2 linked regions of the Xenopus tropicalis genome follow. The protein of the gene in region 1 interacts with the protein of each later gene in a biochemical or structural test. Links are inferred from orthologs where the notes say so. Each region holds a gene or a part of one and is shown in the gene's direction. Other genes may lie near its edges.

Region 1 (4,181 bases):
GGACAAAATGTGGTCCCAAACCATTTCAAGACAGGCAGAAGGCTGGCCATCATGCTGAACTACAAATCCCATCACCGTCAGGCAGCCTGTAAGCGCTGGATTTATTTGTTAGGAGTGCATACTTGCTGCCAATTCTCTGGAATGTGCCTTGCTTTTAACTATACCTAGTGCATCTAGGAACTGTCTTGCAGGGCCACTCCGTAGGGTTAAAAGCCAGTCACATTCCAGACTGCTGGCAACTCTATTAATGTGGCCATACACACACCAGTCATAACATACGATATCCGGTGCGTGCATGGAGAGACACAACCAATATCAGCAAAGGTCTTGGATATCGGTCATCTCATCGATCGAGAGGGATGGGGCATTTAGAGGCGCCTGAGCAAAGGCTAGCCCTTAGCCCTGAATCCTCACATAGGGGTAGAATTCCTTTGTTTCTACCTGCATACCTGGCGATTAGTTCTGAACGTTAAGCTGGCCATACACGCACCGATAATATCGTACGAAACCTCGTTTTGTACGATATTCGGTGCGTGTATGGTATGTTGGCGAAGCAGGAAGCTGCTGATATCGGACAACTCGCCGATCGGACCAGTTTAAAAATTTTGATTGGGCGCCATAGAAGGCGCCTGACCAAAATCTCCCTTCAGAGCTGAATCGGCAGAAGGAGGTAGAAATCCTATTGTTTCTAACTCCTTACCTGCTGATTCAGCTCTGAATGGTGTGTGGCGGATCTGACGATGTTTCGTGCGACCGATGGTCGCACGAAACATCGTCAGGTCGCCACGTGTATGGCCAGCTTAAGTGGAGGGTACAGACGATCTTTCCTGTGACCAATCGTCGCAGGAAAGATCATAATTGTAACATGTATGGCCACCATTACTGTTTTTCTCCCCCCGGAGAGACAGCACCACAGGGGGAGGGAGAATACAAGGGCTCAGAATAGGACACAGCCGACTCCTTCTGTTTGTCACTTCTGCCCCAGCTCCTTTCACAGTACATCTTACAGTAAATTAAATAAAAACAATAATAATAGTGACTCAGTGGGCCCTGGGCAGATGCTCCTTTTGCCCATTTAGTAAAGCAGCCCTAATTGAAGGTGAAATCCCCCTTGTTTCCTGGTTTTGCTTTCTCTTTCTTTGCTTCCCTATTTACTTATAGAGCAGGATTCGGTTTCTTTAACACCAGGACTGGATTTCTAGTTTAAGGGCCAATCCCTGGCTATGGGAACCCGGAACCAAAACAACAGCGCTTTACCTTTAAGCCTAGCCACGCCCCCTCCGGTGACATCATACCAGGAAATGGATGTTGAGAGCTGAGAAGCAACACAGGGGCACTGAGGCTGGCAAGTAGGGGGTTTGCTCTAGTAGTCACACACTCAGCTGTGCCCAGGGGCACTAGTCATGCTGCGGGACTGCCTCTCACTGTAGCCCCAAGCTGCCCCCAGGCTCTGTACCTCATACCCCAGTACTGGGAAGCACCAAGCAGCCGGCCAGGCAGGGCGCCCAGCTCTTCCTCTCACTCACACACTCACACACTGACAGACAGACACGCCCCCGGCTCTGCATATGACACACCAGGTAAGGGACACATACATTGCTTCAGTTTGCAGCATTCATCTAAATTAATTGTGTGGCTGGTATTAAAGGGGGGAGGTAGCAACCATATTGGTTGGTGAGTCTTGGGCCAGGCTGCCCATTGGTAAATGTTGGGTCAGGCTGTCCTCTGGGGTGTCTTGGGTCAGTCTGCCCGCGGGCGAGTGTTGTGTCAGTCTGCCTATGGGCGAGTGTTGTGTCAGTCTGCCTATGGGCGAGTGTTGTGTCAGTCTGCCTATGGGCGAGTGTTGTGCCAGGCTGCCCGTGGGCGAGTGTTGTGCCAGGCTGCCCGTGGGCGAGTGTTGTGTCAGTCTGCCTATGGGCGAGTGTTGTGTCAGTCTGCCTATGGGTGAGTGTTGTGTCAGTCTGCCTATGGGCGAGTGTTGTGTCAGTCTGCCTATGGGTGAGTGTTGTGCCAGGCTGCCCGTGGGCGAGTGTTGTGTCAGTCTGCCTATGGGCGAGTGTTGTGCCAGGCTGCCCGTGGGCGAGTGTTGTGTCAGTCTGCCTATGGGCGAGTGTTGTGTCAGTCTGCCTATGGGCGAGTGTTGTGTCAGTCTGCCTATGGGCGAGTGTTGTGTCAGTCTGCCTATGGGCGAGTGTTGTGTCAGTCTGCCTATGGGCGAGTGTTGTGTCAGTCTGCCTATGGGCGAGTGTTGTGTCAGTCTGCCTATGGGCGAGTGTTGTGCCAGGCTGCCCGTGGGCGAGTGTTGTGTCAGGCTGCCCACGGGCGAGTTTTGTGTCCGACTGCCTATGGGTGAGTGACGTGTCAGGCTGCCCGCGGGTGAATGTCTTGTCCAGCTGCCAATGGGTGAGTCACATGCCAGGCTGTCTATGGGTGAGTGACGTACCAGGCTGCCCATGGGAGAGTTTCGTGTCAGGCGTTCCCCGCGGGTGAGTGATGTGCCAGGCTTCTGGTGGGCGAGTGTCGTGCCAGGCTGCCTGCGGGCAAGTGTCAAGTCAGGCTGTCCGCGGGTGAGTGTCGTGTCCGGCTGCCTATGGGTGAGTGTCGTGTCAGGCTGTCCGCGGCTGAGTGTCGTGTCAGGCTGTCCGCGGCTGAGTGTCGTGTCAGGCTGTCCGCGGCTGAGTGTCGTGTCAGGCTGTCCGCGGCTGAGTGTCGTGTCTGGCTGCCCGCGGGCGAGTGTCGTGTCAGGCTGCCCGCGGGCGAGTGTCGTGTCCGGCTGCCTATGGGTGAGTGTCGTGCCAGGCTGCCTGCGGGTGAGTGTCAAGTCAGGCTGTTCGCGGGCGAGTGTCAAGTCAGGCTGTTCGCGGGCGAGTGTCGTGCCAGGCTGCCTGCGGGCGAGTGTCGTGCCAGGCTGCCCGCGGGCGAGTGTCGTGTCAGGCTGCCCGCGGGCGATTGTCGTGTCAGGCTGCCCGCGGGCGATTGTCGAGCCAGTCTGCCCGCGGGCGAGTGTCGTGTCAGACTGCCTATGGGCGAGTGACATGCCAGGCTGCCCGTTGGCGAATGTCTGGCCATTGGTAACCATGTAGTCTATATATTAGGCCTGTGACCATGTAGTCAATATATCAGATAATCTAGTATTAAAATGAGGATTTCTGCTGGGTCAGCTTGCTCCCTTCAGTCCTGCTCTTATCTATAGTCATTTGTCTTATGTTGCTTATTCCCAGGATGCCTCCCCTGGCAGGGCCGGCTGGGCACCGCCACCCTCACACACGCAGATATGTGGCCCCTGGGAGATGAAGGAACGCTTGGGAACTGGGGGATTTGGTTATGTCTTGCGCTGGATTCACCAGGTAAGGGAATATGTGTCTAACTAGTCCGTTGTGTGGTCTCTCACTAATGTCGCTGCGGCACAGGCTGCTCCGCTGCCACATGGTTATGCCCATGACCCCCCATCAAGCTCATGTCAATGCATGTAGTGTCTACGATTGATGGAAATCCTGAGCCTCTCCATCTCCAACCGCCAGTTGTATTTCAGTAACATCTGGTTTGTGCCCTGTATAGTTAAAAATCCATATGCCTCACTGGATTCTACTGCCAATCTGTGGCAATATATTTGTGCTCTGTGGTTCCATCACCCCCTTTTCTTTCAGGATTAGGTTTCCCCATGGCACCATGTATCAATCATATTTTTTTGGAGAAACAGGGTATGAAACCCAGAGAGGTGATAGCAATCCCTGATAATCTCAAACTTTTTCCATTTTATAAAAAAAAATAGGAATATTGCTGGATATAAATAAACTGAAAAATGTAGATCCAGGAAAAGGTAGTGAAGAGTTAATAACCTCTCTCTGCTAAAATCTGTTATCTTCTGTCTTCCCCTTGGGTGCTTGCTGCAACTCCTTCTCTTCTCCATTTTCCTCTGCAAATTTTTATCCATTTGCCTTTTCTGCAATTGCATTCTCTCCTCCCATTCCTCATTCTGCTAACCGCCATATCTTTGTGTGCTTTGCTTGGACCAGTTGCAGCTGCACATCCCCTTTTCATGCTGCCAGGCACTGGGCATTGTGCGTCTGTAATATTGTATATTTATTTGTTCCTTAATATGCTTAATGTGTTATGTGGCACTGGGCTATAATTTCTTCCTTAGTGTCTCGATCTCTGTGCTCCATGTTCCTATCCATATG
Region 2 (2,885 bases), on another chromosome or scaffold:
ACAAAGCTGGACGTGTGGAGCTCCTGCTGTATGATGCTACATATGCTTAACGGCTGGCACCCATGGAGCCGAACTCACACACCGCCTCTGTGCCTGAAAGTGAGTATGAAGTGCTGTCAGATGCCAACCTTCCTATCTGCAGCTCTTGTTGCACTGTAATCTCTAGCATTTCTCACTAGCCCTTAACAAATGACTTAGTTCCCATGCACTTAAGATTTTGGAGCTTTCTTAAAGCAAAGACCAAAAAGGATGGGTTATGGACAAAAGTTCTTAGTACAAGTTGATCCAGGGACTGGTCTGATTGCCATCTTGGAGTCAGGAAGGAATTTCAACCCCCTGCAGCAAATTAAAGAAGCTTCAGATGGGTTTTTTGCCTTCCTCTGGATCAACTAGCATTTGGGAAGGTTATATATAGGCATTATAGTTGAACTTGATGGACGTGTGTCTTTTTTTCAACCTAACTTACTATGTTACTATGAAATGGCCCACATATGGACAGTGGCATGGTAGCTCTATCTCCACAAGATTAATTAAATAAGGCCATATCTTTTTAGACTGCTTTGGTTAAGCACCATGACCCTATATACTAAAACTCTCAGCATACTTCAGCTGGCTGCATTGTATTCAATGTGCTTCTGCAACTCCTGCACCCCATGCTTAGTATTTATTTATTTGTTTTGCCCTTACTTCAGTTTCCTGCACTGCGCCACTAACATCAAATTGTCAAATTGTGAGAATTTGTGTTATTATTACACAAGGAACACTCATTATACCCAGGGGCACAAGTGCAAAAGCAAAAGGGATGCAAGAGTGCCCTTCTTAATGCTCACTTACAGAGCACCCAGATTTGCCGCTATCCACACTGAACGCCGGATCAAACATCTGGTGCTTGATAGAAACAACTGTTCAGCCCAGCCCTGTCTTTACCACTTGCCTACCATTTTTAAGGCACATTTTTGCGTGTAATAGACTCTGTGGGGAGGGTGGTAAAGGAAAGGAGGGGCAATGGAGGCCATTTGAGAGGTGCTGGGATTTGCAGGGGGTCAAGTCCTCCTTCAGTGATGATAATGTGGTTAGATGATGATTTCTCTTTGAGTTCAGATAAACATCTTTTTCTCCTCTACCATCTGTATAGATTGCCACTGAGCCACCCCCCGTGCAGGAGATACCCCCCACCTGTGATCCTCGAACACGTGAGGTCATTGTAGCGGGTCTGGAAAAAGATCCAACCAGTAGAGTGACGGCAGCAAAGTTACAGGAGAAAGTGAATTTGGCTTTGCATAAAAGTAAGAATACCTAATAAGATATGTATATTTTTATTTATAGGAAAGCTGCAAATTGTGGTAAGGTTTAGATATCTCAAGTTTCATTTAAATCATCATTTAAATTGTCATTATTCAATATGAATTTGCAATTATATTTCTGTTGGAGGTTTCCCCTAGCCCCTGTATATAAGTTAAACTGTCAACATTTATTACTGAATTGTCATTTGGCTTAAAACTGATATTAAGGTGCATGGGATACACAGTGAGAATCATGATTGGTTGACATAAAGAAGAGCTATGGGATATAATCATATTCCTCCCCCTGGACAAAAGCATGTGGCTGTTTTATTATAAGTAAACTACAGTTCCACAGGAACCATCAGTAATATTCTGTCATTGACATTTCTTTGTATTTTGTCTTCTAGTCGGTGGTCTGAAATCTCCATGGAAATCTGAATACAAAATGCTCAGGAGCTTTCCAGATACCACATCACCCCCCAGCCTTGCTGTAGCATCTGAAACCCCTCTTTCCAAACATGAACCTGCCATGCCTGATACCAAGCCTAATCCTAACAAAACTAAGCCAGAACCTAGCAAGGAGAAGATGGTCAGTGGCCTGACTGACAACAGGGCAGTGCAGCCAAACATCTTGTGTGGGAAGGAAATTCAGCAGAAGGAAAGAGGTGAGCCACCAGAGGAGCGTTTGTCACCATAACATGTACCCACTAAAAGTCTCTCCAATCACAGTAAGAGGATCTGGAACCCCAAAAAACATTATACAATGAGAGGCAGTTTAATATATGTTGTTATTCCCACAGCTCTGCCACATTGGGGTGCCAGCACCCATGGCCTCTCATTGTATTTAATATTGTATATAATATTCTTTGGTCTGCCAATGCCAACTACTTCTTAATCAGTTTAATGAACTTGGGGAGCTAGTACCCACTGCTTTATATTCCACTCCTCTGACTGCATACAATGTACTTTTGTGCTGCAAGAATCCCCCACCTCACACTCTGTATAATGCCTCTTATTGTATATACTATACTTTAAGTACCAGAACCTACTGCCCTTCACTCTATATTATTTGCTGAGCTAATAAAACCCTGGAAGTAACACTATGTCAAGGTGGGCATTATTTCCAGGGTTCTCTTGCATCTGCATTTTCATGCAATTCATTAATGGAGGCTGAATGGGCACAATGGCACTATGTGCAAGTTTTAAAAAGTACCTTTCTGAATAGGATCCCAGTGTGCATAATTTTACACTAGTCTAAGTACTTGCACTTGTGATTATAAATGAGCCCTCTGTTTTGCATCTTCTGTAGAATATCTTCTCACTGATCTGTTCCTGGCAAGTTCCCTGGAAGAACAGGAGCAAATGTTGTCCTGTCTGAGTGAGGACAACCGGGATCAGCATCGCAGTCACAAGGTGAGACAGAAGATTTTCTGATGAAGAAACTTCTATATTACATCCTTTCCACCACTACATCTACTTCTTTCCTGCATCCCATCTTCTATTTTTTCTGGCATTCCCTCCTTTCTTGTATCCCTGCCACCCTAACCTCAGCTTTTTATCATCCTCAACCCACATCCCACTGACAGTATATATATTGTTTAT

The links.
Region 2: of the proteins of ikbkb (region 1) and map3k14, one has a biochemical effect on the other in vitro, tested with the Homo sapiens proteins (3 studies listed by BioGRID and IntAct, with this or other methods). The link is inferred for Xenopus tropicalis from reciprocal best matches to the Homo sapiens genes IKBKB and MAP3K14.

Annotation. Positions count from the first base shown.
Region 1 is NC_030679.2:130,593,610-130,597,790, forward strand, and holds the start of ikbkb (inhibitor of nuclear factor kappa-B kinase subunit beta), read left to right. Parts: upstream 1-1,303; 5' UTR 1,304-1,568; coding exon of another isoform or gene 1,569-1,580; intron 1,581-3,221; coding exon of another isoform or gene 3,222-3,290; coding exon 3,291-3,347; intron 3,348-4,181.
Region 2 is NC_030686.2:17,598,861-17,601,745, reverse strand, and holds part of map3k14 (mitogen-activated protein kinase kinase kinase 14), read left to right. Parts: coding exon 1-99; intron 100-1,135; coding exon 1,136-1,286; intron 1,287-1,690; coding exon 1,691-1,948; intron 1,949-2,592; coding exon 2,593-2,696; intron 2,697-2,885.